Linked DNA regions of Drosophila melanogaster. The protein of the gene in region 1 interacts with the protein of each later gene in a pairwise test. Each region holds a gene or a part of one and is shown in the gene's direction. Other genes may lie near its edges.

What was found.
Region 2: the proteins of CG12857 (region 1) and AnxB11 interact in a two-hybrid assay, tested with the Drosophila melanogaster proteins (one large-scale study listed by BioGRID).
Region 3: the proteins of CG12857 (region 1) and drongo interact in a two-hybrid assay, tested with the Drosophila melanogaster proteins (one large-scale study listed by BioGRID).

What each region holds. Positions count from the first base shown.
Region 1 is NT_033778.4:14,757,407-14,761,620, reverse strand, and holds CG12857 (uncharacterized protein), read left to right. Parts: upstream 1-2,018; 5' UTR 2,019-2,064; coding exon 2,065-2,138; intron 2,139-2,195; coding exon 2,196-2,946; intron 2,947-3,001; coding exon 3,002-3,499; 3' UTR 3,500-3,714; downstream 3,715-4,214. Other genes in the region: Trs31 (TRAPP subunit 31), read left to right, coding at 3,840-4,015, 4,071-4,214.
Region 2 is NC_004354.4:16,416,457-16,424,132, reverse strand, and holds AnxB11 (annexin B11), read left to right. Parts: upstream 1-1,890; 5' UTR 1,891-2,352; intron 2,353-3,740; exon of another isoform or gene 3,741-3,760; intron 3,761-4,007; exon of another isoform or gene 4,008-4,014; 5' UTR 4,015-4,071; coding exon 4,072-4,083; intron 4,084-4,362; coding exon 4,363-4,929; intron 4,930-5,083; coding exon 5,084-5,465; intron 5,466-5,543; coding exon 5,544-5,773; intron 5,774-5,842; coding exon 5,843-6,052; intron 6,053-6,108; coding exon 6,109-6,177; intron 6,178-6,237; coding exon 6,238-6,303; 3' UTR 6,304-7,029; downstream 7,030-7,676. Other genes in the region: hang (hangover), read right to left, coding at 506-853; Traf-like (TNF-receptor-associated factor-like), read right to left, coding at 7,030-7,338, 7,399-7,514, 7,570-7,676.
Region 3 is NT_033779.5:848,071-852,753, reverse strand, and holds the start of drongo (drongo), read left to right. Parts: upstream 1-1,682; 5' UTR 1,683-2,685; coding exon 2,686-2,855; intron 2,856-4,683. Other genes in the region: CG4291 (uncharacterized protein), read left to right, coding at 125-126, 183-255, 312-1,036, 1,095-1,311.

The sequences.
Region 1 (4,214 bases):
AACAATGTTTTCACACTGTTGAGATGAAAAAATCGTGTCGATGCAAAAGCACAGCTTTTTCAAATCGGGTGAAAGAAGAATGCGTAAGAAGCAATTCAGCTTGAAAATCAGTTTGCCAAAATGGGTCTGGGGTTCGATTTTAGTATCATTTCGGTATACTCCATTTGAATTGCCATAATTAATTGTATATACAAAAGAGCAGGAAGGATTATGTATCTAATTTTAATATACTTTTAAAATTGTAACTTATGTTTAGTGCTCTCGCTTAATTATAGTTTTGTAAAAACGGGCTATTTGTTTTTATTCGTAACTGAACACACATTTTTTTGAAAAATCAAAATATTATACAATGATTGTTTTAGTTTTAGTTGTTTAGGGTTTTTTGCTATTTTACACTTGCTTGTTTACAATTCGAAATTGGAGAACAGTATTAAAAGGCCAAGGCGAAGGCAAAGGCGAAACGAGAACTAAATATATTTAAATGCGATTTTCTCTGCGCGATTCCAATTTGTTAATCAATGTCACGCGCTCAAAAACTCACACGAAAAGTTCAAACAAACGGCAACCTGATGCGCAAATGAATAAAAAAAAAAAAATCGAGACACGCAACAACTCGGCAGAAGAATTAGTGGACGACGACGACACGGCTGTCGAGCCGTTCTTCTCCGAACCTGAAGAAGAATTACAAATTGTATTCGATTTACTCCTCTAGCAAAAGAGTCTGCGGCAATGCTCAAGTTTTGTGCGTTCGCTATGCTCGGCAATTGTTACTTAAATGTGCTTTAGTTCAGAACTATGTACCCATTCGGTTGCCTTATAAAAAGGATGTTTTTGTCTCTTCTTAGGGCTCATGAAGATTCAAAATATTCCTTTTGCCCCAAACTCAAAACGTTTGTTTTCCAAAATCTTTTGTTCAGACGTTGAAATAGAATGAGAAACCAATTAGAATTAGAGAGTCGATGGACAAACAAAGAGCGCAGCATTGCTCGATTGGAAATCTTTTGCAACTAAATAATTCTAGAATGCGAAGCAATTTGTAATTTTTATTGAAATGCCAACAACTTTGGGCCGTTTATAAAATGGCCGAAAGAGGAGGCATTTGAGCAAAGGGGTAAAAATAAAACAAAAACAAAAAACAAACAATTTAAGTGTTTTCAAAAAGTCAACAAACTCATATATGCAGCTATATATATATATAAAAATAATAAAAAAAAAAACATTAATTTATTTCTTACTATATAATTATTGTTGTACTAAGTCGGTGAGAAAACCCATGAAAGAAAGAAATTCACACGAAAACTAAAAAACAAAATGCATATTTATTAAAAATAAGCAAAGGTTGTGCAAAAAAAAAACACATTAAAAAGCAACATTATTATTGTAAAAATTAACTAAATACGGCAATTGTTATTAAATGTGCAAAATTCAGCAAACACATTGATACAAACCTCAGAAAATACAAGCCAAGATCTGAAAACGGACATCAATGGAATGCAAATTTTTGAAAATATAAGGCAAGATGAACCGTGAACGGATCAAACAGAAACGGAAACGGAAACAAAACACTCAACAACAAGAAGTACAAAATGTTAAATATGTATCTATAATTTACAATTACGTTTTATATTACTCTCTAATTTACACGCTTACACAATGGAAAAATAGCTAACTATTATTGCAATCGTCCTCAAACACACAATAAAACTAGATCAAAAGGCGGAATTATTACTTTAGCTAAAATAAAATATCACCTTTTGCAATTTGTATCATTTTCTTACCCTTATTGTTTCACATCGAAATCAGAAAAAATAGTTAAAATAGCCGCATATACTCATATTAAATTGAAAAGAAACGTGTCATTGCAGAAAAGGATAAAGAAAATAGTAATATAAATGATATATTTATTCATATAAATGTATTTGAAAATGTGAACAAAAGAATACCAACAATAAAACACAATTTAATAAACAATGTGAAAGCTACGAGTGTGTTTTTTTTTTAAAACACTTAAAAACACAGTAGCCGTGCAGTCAAAAATCCAAAACAAGAAAACCAAATTTCGAAATGGAGGAGCTAATGAGGCAGAACGGACAGAAATGCGAGAGGCAGGAACTCACCTGCAGCGTTTTATTTACCAAGTGAGTTAATCTTAAACCAGTCGGAGTAATCTTAAAATATTTTCCTTCTCCTTGCAGTCCCAAGCTTAGTGCCGAGAAGTTATCCTCCAATGATGAAATAAACTCCATTGCGAGATTCGTATCGAAGGCGGAGGATCTCGAAATGCATAGAGTGTTCAGTAAGATATCAAAGAATGGTGTCGAGGAGACCACGTCTCTGAATCGCTCCCTCTTCGAGTTCGGTCATAATTTCGAGGATGCCGATGGCTGGCTGAAACTGGAGCAGCCTTGCAAGGATCGGCTGGCCACGGTGCTGCGCTACATGTTCGAGTCCCATCTGAAGACCACTGTGCAGATAGAAATCAACAATATGTACTTCAATTGCCACTTCATCGTGCTGCAGGTGTACTCTCGCTTCTTTAGTGAACTGGAGATGATTCCGCTGCTGGTCACCCTGCCCGAGAAGATCGTGTCCCAGAAGGCCTTTATGCTCTCCTACAAATGGATGCTGAGCGATGAGCCCGTCCTGGAGCTGGCTCACATTGTGGAGGTCTATGTGGCCGCCACTTATTTGAGGATCTCTGGTCTGGCGGCGCATTGTTGGAAATATTTCGATGATGAGGAATACTACAACGAGGATACGGCATGTGTCCTATACGTCGAGTCGAAGGACAATCCCGCCATGGATGTAGTTCGCAATTTGATGCTGACTAGGATCCGCAAGTTTCTGCTCACCTTTGTGGCCACCAGGGATTTCCTCGATCTGCCGACCTCCCATCTGATTTTTTTGCTCGAATCCGATCAAATCTGTGTGAACACCGAGATTGAGGTGGTGTTCAACATAATATTTATAGTTATTATTGCATTTTATATGTTTTTCTTAGGTTTTCTTTATAGCTGTTCGATGGCTGGGTCACGATTGGAACAAGAGGAAAGTGCACGTACGTCGTTTAATGTCCTGTATTCGATTCAACCTGATGCCATTGTGGTATCTACTATATGCGCGACGGGAGGAGGATCACCCGTTGGTGATGAAGCTGATTTTCAACCCGGAGGTGGAGTACAAGATCGACGAATCCATATCGAGAATAACGTCGCGCATGTACGAGGATGCCTTGGAGGGCAATGACGCACAGAGTGAGGAATACGCAAGTGATTCCGGACAGCGAAACTGGATATGCGATAGCTTGTGCAGCTATTATCACGGCGTCGGTTGTCCCAATACCCGGGAAATTCGTTTCAAACACTTCGAGGATTACCTTTCGGAATTACAACAATGCTCCAAAGATCACTGGTCTCAGGTGATATTTCAGGACCCGAGTAAAAAGATTGACTGTTGCAGCACAAGGAAGATAAAATCGGACGATTTTGTTGCCGATTAACTATTGAGTTTGAATAGTAACGACTAGAATTCAAATTTGCGGGCTTCAGTTTGTGCTAGTATAACAACTTGGCACACTTTTCTGTTATACATTGTACACTTCGTTCATTTGATATTTATGAAACAAATCAGCATATTTTTAATAATATATTTTTTAAAATGTACATCAACATTTTAAAAAAAAAGCAAGTGGTTTAATAAATATAATTAATATTTATTGTATTATTGTCGCAACTTTAAGTGTGACCATTTCTGCAACGCTCTTTGGCATTTCGGGCAGATAGGGTGGCGTGCACACTTTGCATTGTTTTGGAAAATAATTTGATACATTTATCAGGAAAATGGAAAAACTGGAGGCCCTAAAAATATCCTCGATGCGTCCGCGCAGCAACATCCTAGACAGACCACTATCCAAGGGCAAAACGGAGGTTTCCCAGAGCATTGTGGCGCTGCTTTTCAGCGAAATCGTCCAGTACTCGCAGAGCCGAGTGTTTACAGTCCCAGAATTGCAAACAAGGTGGGAGTTTCTCTAAGTTTTTGCGATTAATTCGTTAATTCCAAGGCGTTTTCAGACTCCACGATCTGGGTCAAGATGTAGGCACCCGCATAATCGACCTGTATTTCGTGAGGGAGCGCAGCTCCAAGCGAGAAACAAAACTAACCCAAATGCTTCTCTTTGTTAAGACCACGGTGTGGAAGAATCTCTTTGGCAAAGA
Region 2 (7,676 bases), on another chromosome or scaffold:
ACACCCATACCAAAGCAGATGAGGAGTAGGAGGCGGAGTTTGGCTGGTTTTCGGTTCGTTCGTTTTTTTTTTTTTTGTTTGCTTGGTTTTTCGTTTTTGGATGTGGCTGGCCATCATCTTTGGTTGCTTGCACAATCCCCCTTCGATGGGTCTTGAACTCCGGGGCCCAATGCCCACTGCCCAATGGTTACTCGGCATCATCCGTAACCTCACTTTTCCATTCTGTCCAGCGAACGGGTGTGGCCACCGCCTCATCCTTCCACTGACCATTTGGGATCTGTGTGTATAACTGTTAATGGTGTCCAACCACCAGAGCACCGGAGTGCCAGAGCACCCAAGAGAGCGTTCAGTGAGAGCGGCGGACTCGGACTCGGAATCGGAGACCCGGGATGACGACACCGACGGCAGCAATGGCGATGGCAACAGCCGGATTATGTATATACCCGCATCCGCATCCGCACCCGTGCCCATGCCCACACCCATACCCATACCCATAACCACTCACCTTGATGCCGACGCAGTTGTGGATCTTGGTGGACAGCGGCTCCTTGTCGGCCGCATAGCTATTGATGATCGAGATGCATTCGGTTTGTGGGGCGATGCACAGGCGACAGCAGTTTTGTCGCGCCGACCGTTCGCTGTTGCTGTTTCTCGCCGATGTTGCTGTTGCTGCTGTTGGAATGGCCGCTTCAGGGGATGTGGTTCCCGCTGACGCAGTGGCTACCGTCGTCGTTGTCGTTCCAGGCTGTGTCGCTGTGGCCTCCAATGCTACCGATGCTGTTGTTGTTGCGACGGCTGCTGCTACTGCTGCTGTTGTTGTTGTTGTCGCTGTTGCCGCCGCAGCGTCGCACATTTTGTCGCTTTTGTATTGGTCGCCCTCTCGCTCTCTTCTTTGCCGCTTGCTTCTACTTCTCGGTTGAATTTGTTTTTGGGTTTGGTTTTTTGCACGTTTTCACTTTTGTTTCGGTCTGCGTCCGTTCGCAATCGTTCCACACCATCCACATCCACTACTACAATATACTACTATGTGCTATATTATCCGCTCTCCGACGGAAACGACCACGCCGCTCGCGTTTCCCACTTTTCGCACATTGTTCGCACTGGTTCTTTTACTTATTTCGTTGCCATTGATCCTTTGCTGATTCGCAATTTGGAGTTTCGCTCTTGGGTTTCCTTTATCTTCGCCTATTTTTCCACTTCGCTTTTGTTTGGAGGAGTCGCACTGGAAAAAAAATGACCGCTACACTGGGACTGCGAATTGCCGTGGCGTATCTGCGACTGTAAACGGGAAAATGATTTCTGGCGAAAAAAGGTCGTTTTTGGCTAGAGATGGGCACGCCGGGCGAAGCCTGGACCTTACTATCGCTATCGCTTGTGGCAGACGCATGCGTGGTCACACTTACCACTGTACGGCGGTTTTTCTTAGCGGTCGCATACCCGGTCACTCTGGGAAATAACCATCAAAGAAGCCATTTTAATTCGATAAGTCGATCTCTTTGACTTTTTATATCGCGGCTATATAGAATTTCAAAATAAAAGTATGAAAAACTCCACATAAAGATTGTACAAAGATTCTCTATAAAGTGAATCATAAAATTTACTGCATTGAACGTACTTTAGCTTAAATTTCCGTTGATTTCTTATTGGGAAATTAGGTATGTTAAGAGATTTGAATTAAGCAACTACAAAAGTGAATTCTGAAAACTGATTTCCAAATTAAAGAAAATAATGTTTTAATATTGCAGTTACTTCGCAGTTATACCGGGAACATACGAAATTGTGAATGCACCGGCTACTCGATAGCCACCGATATTCCGATTGGAAAGGGCACAGCTATCGACTAGAATCGAGTAATCAAAGTAACAACAGGTTGTTGTCCCGCCCTGGCGGTAAGTCAGTTGATAAATTCACTTCGGCATTACAAAATACCCGCAGAGTGCCAACATCGCGTTTGCCGATACTTAAAGTAATTAAAAGCGTTATAATTGTGCCGTTCTTTATGGTGTATTTGTTTTCGCGCAACATGCGTGTTCTTATTGCTGTTTAACACGTTTCCCTGAAGTGTAGACTTGTGAAATCTTTACTTTAAGTCTCTGCTCCCAAATATTCTCCAAGACAGACGTATTTGTGTGCCTGTGTGTGTATCTGCCGAGAAGAAATACATATATCGTACGACTGGTGGCGGGGTAACCAGCGATAGAAACTTTCGTTTGATATCTTCAGATACAAAGATACAATTGTATCTCGAAATGCAACTACTCACACACACGCACGCACGCACACCGGCACTGACACGTGTTGATGTGCTGCACTTGTGTGCGTTTTACCCATCTGTTGATTGCGACCTTGCTAGTAAATAATTACCATCTAATAAATTATGATACAATAGGAATAGATGCGCCCACCTATGTATCTAATTATGTAGGGGCGTGCACATAAGGCCCATTTTTATGCCTAAATGCCAATCTTCTGACCTATCTATCTATCTCATGTGCGCTTTTAATAGGTTATACTTAAATGAAAGCGATCGAACTTATACTTTTCCCGGAATCCGGGACCATTTCAAAGAATTTCAAGATAAGCGCACTCAAAGTTGTAAGCGATTATTGTCTTATTTTTAGTGGTATTTACGCAAAGTTGTTCGAATTTACTGTGCCAAAATCATAAGTAAAGAAATATATAAAAAGTACAACAACTAATTGCAAAATGAAGCATCAAAATTGTATTTCGCAAATGTTCGAAATATCTTTTCGGCTCTATGTAACTATGAATCCAAAATTCACAGGAATTTTACTTCTGATCCATTTGTAAAAGCATGACTCAATTAGTATACATAGATACTTAGATACATAGATACTTATGTATGCGCACGGGTAGACTTTGTTGACGTGGGTTTGAGTGTAAGATGAATCATCTCGGAGTGAGCAAATGCGTTCTGTTGCCTTGAAAACGGCCCTTTCCGATGATAATGGACCGCAGAAATCGCTGCGGTGGAAATAAAGCCATTGTTCTGGTTATTTGCGCTGCGAGGTGCCATTGAAGTCTTTTCCAAAACGAATTTAACTTAATTTTTTGGTTAAAAATGTATAAAGAGTGGGACAGAACAGACCGTACATGCAGTTGTTTATGTTTATCAATTGAAAAGTTTTCAAGAAAGGCTTTGCAAATGACGAAACAATTGGAAAACAAACCCAAAGCCTTTGTGCAAATAGTTTAATATATTATATTCAGGCCTCACATTTGTTTCCATACCCATTAAGTCAGGAGGCGTCCCTCTGTCTGAAGCAAAAAATTATAAATTACAAGTAACACGCATGACCCGCAGCTATATTGCGCATATATAATATAAGGTAAAAGGGAAAACACAACGTTTATATATATGTATATATATGTATATATATATATATATATGTAGATATGAAGTACCTTGTGGGCCACAAATGGGTGTAGCATACATGTGTACATGTGGCGAAAGTCTACATTGGCGACATTTCAGTGGAACCATTATAAGGTCTCTTGGGACAGTTTACTATATCGCCGAAATTAATTATTTTATTTTAATGTTTTTGCATATTTCATATATCCATATCAGTTGATTTATTTTTTTGGGAAGTTCCCTCTCTAAGCAAAACCGGATGCCTTTATCCCATATATGACGCAAATTCATATTACTCTTAATTGCTTAAATTATAAGGCATACCCTGTAATAGTGTTCTTATCTAATAGCGCAATCCCCACTCCAATTTGATTGGTTTCCAATGTATGTATACTCAAATACAAGTTAGACCTATTTTATAACTTAAAGTTTGATTTGTACATTAGCACGTTTTGTTGCGTAGTGTAATCTAATGTTTCGGTTCAAAGTCGCTTGTACCTTCTATTTGAGCACCAATCTTTAACATGATGTTAGATCAGCTGATTAAACATTAAAACTATATGTACATTGTACTTGTGCATGTGTGTGAATATTTTCAATTTAACGAAACGCATAATTCCTATTTTGCTCTTTTCCAGTACTGAATCTCAATCACCGGAAATTATCCACAGAATCTCCATAGAACCTCCCTCAAAATGTATCCCTTCGTAAGTTTTGAATGCACATCCTGTAGATTTTAGTTATAAAAGTATCAGCATTAATAAGTGCCTTGGTTCTTAAATATCATAACATATTCACAATATATTTTATAAATAAGTTTGGTATAACATATTTTTTTGGGTATAAAACTATAATAATTTATTCGGGTGAGTTCTTTCGTTTAGTCTGATTCATTTTTCTAAGAGATAGATGTCATTCTTGTGAGCTCTGTGTTTAATTCAGCGCCATGGAGTCAACTTGAATTGTACATTTTCTGACTTTTATAGGGTTCTGGAATGCCATCGCACCCCCCTACCTCCACTAACCACCACGAGCCGCCACGGGCGCCCTTTGGAGCTGGTTGGGTGCCACCGATGCAGCAAAACTCGCCATACCCACCACCCTCCCAGCCACACCCACACTCACAGCCATCGTCCCAAATGCATCCTCAGCAGCATCAGCAATATCCAGGCGGAGCTCCAGCTCCTTATCCACCAATGTCGGCACCGTACCCGTCCGCCGCCCCATCCTATCCACCATATCCCACCTCGAATCCTTACCCGGCACAATACGCTCCTCCAGCGCACAATCATTATCAGCAGCCATCGGTGTCGAACAGTCCCTATCCCGCGGATCGTGGATACACACCGGCCATGACAGCCGGATATGATGCGGGCTATGGCTACGGAAACGGACAAGGACATGGACAAGGACATGGACATGGGCAAGGACATGGGCACGGACATGGGCAAGGACATGAATATGGGCATGGATATGGGCAGGGCTATGGGCATGGACAGGGGCATGGGAATGGTCAGGGGCACGCGCATCGGTCACTCCCAGCTCACAGAGAGGTTGGTCATCAAATTTGGGGACTCACGTCCACACTAACCGCACTTCCCCATCCTCAGTCGAATTTGTTCCAGGGCGGGTCTAAAACAATACATGTTCATCATGCCCATCAGATCTGAGCTCGTTTTCAGTGACTGTTTTGACTGTTCTTTTCAGGGAACTCCCACGGTGGTGCCTGCCGCAAACTTCGATGCCGTCAAGGATGCTCACGACTTGCGCAAGGCCATGAAGGGCTTTGGAACAGATGAGGACGCTCTGATTAACATCATCTGTCGGCGATCCAACGAGCAGCGCCAGGAGATCCAGCGCCAGTTCAAGACGCACTTCGGCAAGGACCTCATCGAGGACATCAAGTCGGAGACGAGCGGCAACTTTGAGAAACTCCTCGTCGGCCTGCTGCGTCCCATCGTGGACTACTACTGCGCCGAGCTAAACGATGCCATGGCTGGCCTGGGCACCGACGAGGAGGTCCTCATCGAGATCCTCTGCACGCTGTCCAACATGGAGATCAATACGATCAAAAACCAGTACTTACGATGTAGGTCGTAATCTATTTGGCTTAGCCTTTTCTCTTTGTTCTAATATGGATTTTGTTTCTGCCAATCGTGTATATTAGTGTACGGCGCCCATTTGGAGTCTGAACTAAAGTCGGAGACGTCGGGCAACTTTAAGCGGCTGCTTACCTCCTTGTGCACGGCGGCGCGGGATGAGAGTGGTCGCGTGGATCCCGTGGCGGCCAAGAACGATGCTAGGGAGCTACTGAAAGCCGGCGAACTGCGCGTCGGCACCGATGAGAGCATGTTCAACATGATCCTCTGCCAGAGGAACTATCAGCAATTGAAACTGGTATGCTGCTTGATACTTGAGTACTTGTGTGTACAATTGAAACTCCAACATAATCATACCTAACCGCAGATATTCCAAGAGTACGAGGGCATGACTGGCCACTCGCTGGAGAAGGCGATCAAGAAGGAGTTCTCCGGCGATGTGATGGAGGGCCTGATTGCCATCTACAGGTGCGTCACCAACAAGGCCGAATACTTCGCTTCGCGCCTGCACAAGGCGATGGCCGGAATTGGCACCAATGACACCCAGTTGATCCGTGTGATCATCACGCGCAGCGAGGTAAGTACATCTATATATAATATCATTCAACCCTAAAATGTTGCAACGTTTTTCAGATTGATATGACGGACATTAAGGTAGCGTTCGAACGTCTGTACGGCAAGTCCCTCAAGAGCTGGATCAAGGTAAGATATATATATCTATCTATATCTATATTCTATAATCATATAAAATCCTACTTGCAGGGCGATACTTCGGGCCACTACAAGCACGCCCTTTATGCCCTGGTGGGTGAACAGCGCTCCTCTTAAGAATCTCCGCATATACATATATATGTATTATTCAAACCAAATCCGACGTGAAATCAATTATTCGAATATGTATTATCTCTTCTATGTATTCGTTCATTTAAATGCATACAACATACAAGAACACGCCAACGAAGCCAGACAATTATGATCCACAACGTAGACTATAAGTGCACACAAATAATACCTGAACGGGATCAGACATTTGATACCTCTTTCAAAGAAATGAACATGGGAACCGACAGTTGACAAGTGTTGAAGTTGTATTTTATTAAAAGACCTTTGTATTTAAATGCGTTCGTAAAGACAAATAATATGGAAGTTCCTCTCAAAAATCGCTTGTTAATTTGCTCGAAATGAAAAACCAAAAAATGAAAGAGTTGCTTATATCTTGACAAAGTGACCAGGGAAATGTTGCAATAAAAGCTATGCTTTCTAACTACCGACTTCGTCTCGACAGTGCCTCAATGTGACTATTGCCTAATTTGAAAAAAAGCATTTAAAACTGCAATGACATTTAAAACTACAATATACGCATATTGAAACGATGAATCGATTCGTATGCACTTATACACTATATATGTACACATACTCGTGTTTGTAAGCGGGTTTTTAACTTCCAGTTCGCTCTCAATGGAATAAATTATGTTTTATGTATGTGACAATCCGCAATTGGATTTTTTTTTTCTTATCGCTCCTGGTGGGTGGGATAGCGATGCTGCATGGGTTTTATTTTAGAACTCGAACCTCGATGAACATGGAATCGTTGCGAAGATAGTTGCGACTGGTGATTACCTTGTGTGGTATATGGAAGTACTGGTTGCTTTGGATAAAATCATCGCTCTTCTTGCGCACAAAGATGGTCTTCACATAATCCTCGGCATCTGCCACATTCGTGCACTGATCCCGGATGATGATCTCGGCCTGAAGGCGGCATGGCCAGGCCAGAAGGGGATCGTACTCTCCGGATAGAACGTTCAAGCAGGCGATCATGTTCCTGCCCTTCCAGGTGCCCTTGCCATTCAAGTATATATCCAGCTAGTAATGGGGTATACATATATAAATGGCATATCCAACCAAGATCCAACCTCAACTCACCCGTAGAGCATAGCCAAAGGCTTTATTGGAGAACATGGCGCTATGGAGGATGGTGTCGTACTGCTTGGACTCTTCCAGTTTTTTCGAGTAATCCTTGATGCGCCAAATCAAGTGTCCTGTACGACCAGATATTATATATTTAAATTACTATATTGAACCAACAATATGTACCCCTTATATTCTGGACACTGGCAATCCGCTGCTGCATGGCCATTTGGGTCTCCAAATCCGATATATTCTGCATGGTCTGGTGAAGTGCTCGATCCAATTTATCGCAA
Region 3 (4,683 bases), on another chromosome or scaffold:
ATACGGAGCTATTGTGCAGCTCCATTCGCGACTGGGTGGCAACTCCCGCACATTGTTTTCATTTGCGATTGCAAACAAAATTTAATATTACTTGTATTCGAAACAATTAAGCTGAGAAATCATCATGTAAGTCTGCGTTATTATCCTCCGGCTTTGCCATAGCTAACTCTCGATTCCAACAGGACGGAGTACTGGAAATCAAACGAGCGCAAGTTCTGCGACTTCTGCAAATGCTGGCTGAGCGACAACAAGGCGGTGAGTCCATAGAATAAACTCGCTTTTCGGCACTCTAATGACCCCTAATCCCGCAGAGCGTCGCCTTCCACGAGAGTGGCAAGCGGCACAAGATGAATGTGGCCAAGCGGATCACGGACATCAGTCGCAACAGCGAGAAATCGGAGCGGGAGCGCCAGAAAATGGACGCGGAGATCCGCAAGATGGAGGAGGCGGCCATGAAGTCGTACGCACAGGATGTCCATTCGCGCGGTGACATGACCGCCAGGTCCATTAACACGGTAATGAGGGCCACCGCCACTGCTGCCGCCTCAGGCGGAGCTCACTCCTTCGCCGGAAGATCACGCCAAGTGGACCCCATGCGCCTGGAAGGATTGTCCGACGAAGAAGAAGACCAGAGGCGGGTGGCTCCCGGCAAGGTAACAAGCGACGCAGCCGTGCCCGAGGCATCCCTCTGGGTGGAGGGCAAGTCGGACGAGGGACACACCTACTATTGGAACGTGAAGACCAATGAATCCGTGTGGAAGCCGCCGAAAGAGGGCTATCTGTCCTACGAGGAGTACGAGCGCATCAACCAGCTGGCCATCGACCAGCAGCAGATCTCCCAGGCCGAGGAATCGCTGAAATTCCGCGCCAATGTCGACGAGGAAGTGGCGAGGGTGAACCGAGAGAAGATGAAAGCCTTCCGCAGGACGGACAATCCCAAGGAAAAGAAGCAGAAGGAGGAGAGGCGTCAGACATTCAAAACGGAGGAAGAGGCGGCCACCAAAGAGATTGGACAGTGGCAAACTGTGGAAGTGAAGTAGGGCCTTCCTACTAGGTTCAAATGCATTTACTGATAAATTTATGGATTTTTGTAGAGCACCTGAGCAGCCCATCGACTGGCAGCTACCCAAAACGGATTACTACAGTGCTGCGCCCGTGGTTTCCGCCTCGAGTGAACCAGAACCTCCAGTCAAGAAGTTCAAGGAAAAGACGATTGGCGGTCTGGATGAGGAGATAGCCGCCACTGCGCCCGCCACGTTCAAGCGGAAATTCATCAGGAAGGGAAACAGCCGCCAGCGCGCCGAGGATTAAGAAGTACTCCATGTGCTTATGTGCATATTTCACCTACTAGTTAGGTTTAGGCATAGGAAATGTTTAGGTTTTTAAGTGTTTGCTTATACCAATTAAAAAGTGAGATGCGTTTAACTAATATTAGATTAAACATAGCTATTGTAGAATTATTATTATCTTTAGTCGACTTGCATTCAATAAATATTTCCCAACATTTTAAATAGTAATATGTTTTTTAAAAAGTTTTAAATTTCGATAACAGTTATCGAATTAGGTTCAATCGGTGTGTGTCTGTGCTTTAGTTGCGGCATATTTAGGTCTTAGAGCTCCGTCCAATTTTAGTGCATTTCCAGCGGCAACACGAGGTATGTTTCTCCCGTCCGCCAACGGTCACTCTGCTGCTGTTGTTGTAGGCGAGCGGTCGGAATTTGCGTCGGAATTGTGTTGAGTCGAGTCGCGCTATTTTGTTTCGAGTGCGCTGTGCTGTTTGGTTTCGTTCCGTTTCGTTTCGCTGTTCGTTTTCCACTCGTCTTCGAATCCGCACTGCAAACAAACAAGGAGAAGGGGAAGCAGCAAAAGTGGCGAGTGCATTCGCAGCGTCGAAATTTCAATTGAAATCTGAAATCTGTGTGGCAATTGCAGCGGCACTCGGTGTAAATAGATTGAATTGAAGCGAAATTCTGCGAGTCGAAGAAGTGAAAAGTAAACAATAACACGGGCAATCGGAAAAGTGGTTTTCGATAAATCGCACCGCACACACACACCTGTCAGTGTGAGTGTCAAAGTGAGTGTGTGAGTGTGCGTCGAAGGAGAGGAAAGGTCAAGCCAAAAATTGCGTAAAGAAAAGGAAAGGAAAGCTTAGAAGAGGGGAAGGGGAATTACGTCAGTTTCGCATTCCCGATAAAAATTTTTGATTCCCTAAACGATCCTGATAGCCAGCCATTACGATAGGCAAAAAACGATAACAGCGGAAATTTACGTCAATTTGGAGCAGAAAGTAAACGATACCAATTCCCGAAAGAATTCAAAAAATCAGGCAAGATTCAGTTCGTGTACGCTTACAACAGCTCCGCGCCCCACGCCGCCTCCTCCTACCGCACCGCCGTCGCCCCCTTTGCGCCCTACGCGGCCGAGCGGTCCACCCACCACCACCCACTCCCGCCCCCCGAGGAGCGGCTGCCCTCGGACACCGAGCAGCTAGCTGGATCCGACGAGGATCGGGCTCAGAGCCACGAAGCGGAAGCGGAGGAATCCGAGGAGGAGCGCGCAGGTAGCGGACCCTCCGTCAGGCCGCTCATCGCAGCAGCAGGAGCAACAACAACGACAACGTCGACGTCAGTAGTACCGGAAGCGGTACAAAGGGCGGCGGCCAAGGGAGCGACAGAGACGGCGACAATGGCGGTGGTGCGCAAGAAACAGGACGACAAGTACCTGCTCGCCCTGCGGGAACTAGTGGCCAGCGGGACGGGGAGCAATCGGCAGTGCTTCGACTGCGGCCAAAAAGGACCAACCTACGTGAACATGACCATCGGATCCTTTGTCTGCACCCGCTGCTCCGGAGTCCTGTAAGTATTTGCCTTCTTGTTGTTGTTTTCTAGTCTGGGATAATGTAGGGTAGATCCAGGAATTAGGCATAAGTCGCCTGCTAGGTGACCTTTGTTATGAGAATGTAACTGTAACTTGGCTATTCATATTTTAGTTATTTCTTTGGTTGTCTCTTTGAGTTTACCAGGTATTCAAGATACCTCTGGAAAATATTTCAAACAATTTCCGATGCACAGATTGATCTAGCTTGAGATTTGTAGAATAAGGATGGTGGGTTATGAACTGACAAATCTCTTAAAATCTTCCACAAGAAGAATCCAGATATACGACATTTATGGTTATGGCTTTCTTGAATGGCTTTTGGTTGAATTCACACATGTTTTTTATCAAAAAGCTGGCTACCTATATACATATTCTGATAACTGCCAAATGGGCTACCCCCACTGCGTTTAGGAGTCATATAAAATATTGCCTTGAGTGTTTCCAAAAATAGAAATGCAAATTGAGAGCTATCAACGTCGATCCGTGGACCTTTCTTGGTCTCCCGTGTTATCTTGACTTGAACCCAGCCAATTTGAACTCGCCTGACGTCCATTTGGGATCTGTGCCCGAGTGGAGTGACCGATAATTTGCGATCGATCGATGCAATGTCCGATCCCGCCCCCCATTATTATTTCGTATTGTGTGTGAAAGCGAAAGCAATTCCCCAACAATTTCGAACAATTTCGCACAATTTGGCTTCCTTTCCTTTTTGAATGCAAATGCAAATCGAAGACAAAACTTTCAATTGCGCGACATCGCGGCGAACGAAATTGTTTTGTCTTCGCCGGCGTCGCTTTCTATTCGTGTTTTTCCGTGGGGAGACGTTTTCGAGAGCCGCCCACCTGGCGGTTGAGTTGTGGGTGTCCTTGGCGCCCCTCAGTTTATTTTTTATTTTTGCCCCTCTAAGTAATTTGGCAAATTGGCTTTGATTTGTGAGCACTATGGCCAAATTGGGGTCATATATGTATTACCACTCCGCCGACACTGCATTTCATTTGATTTACGCATTTCCGGATCAAGCACATTACATGATTGCTCTTAAACTTCCGCTTGGCCCAGGTCCAGAAGCCCAGTCTCCCACGATTCGTGTGCCCCAGATTGTGGCCTCTCAATTGGACAGCATGCGGGTTTCTCCGCTGAGTTATCTCTATCATCGGAACCAGGTTGAAAAGTAGCCAACTGCAATGCGTTCGCCCTGCTGCACTCTGCAGTCCCCAACTCTTGTTTCGATGACTCATTGCCCATTCCTCAGTCTTCGGTGTGCGGTGCTCAATCCTCAATCCTTAGTCCTCAAACCTTGTTGCCAACTGCCAAGGGAAACAAATGTTGGCATGTAAATGAAAAGCCACATAAATGCCGGGGACACCAAGCGATTGCACTGCGAGAAAGGGTTAATGGTTAATTGTAACAAACAATTGGTCCTGTTAGTCGGATACTTCTGCGGTTTTTCAGTTACTAGTCTAACGACGTGCCACGTTTCTGCCGGTGTAGCCAAAAAGGGGTGTGGAAAGGTACTGCAGCAAATGGGGGACTCGGCCGAGGAAGGGGGCGTGGCAGGGGCGACAGCAGGCGACAACGAACTTCCTGGCTGAAAATGAGACTGGAACGTCGACTGCGACAAGGGAGCGAGTGCAGGGAATACCAAATGAAACCAACTCCTCCGACTCACGAAGAAATGGCTGTGCATGTTCGGCCCGCCTTTGGATATTGGAATCCGCTGCAGACCGGCCGGTCACTTGGAGCGCTTAATGGAGGAAGCGGTTCAGGAATGAGAATGGAACTGGCAATGGTAGTGGGTTTCAGAAT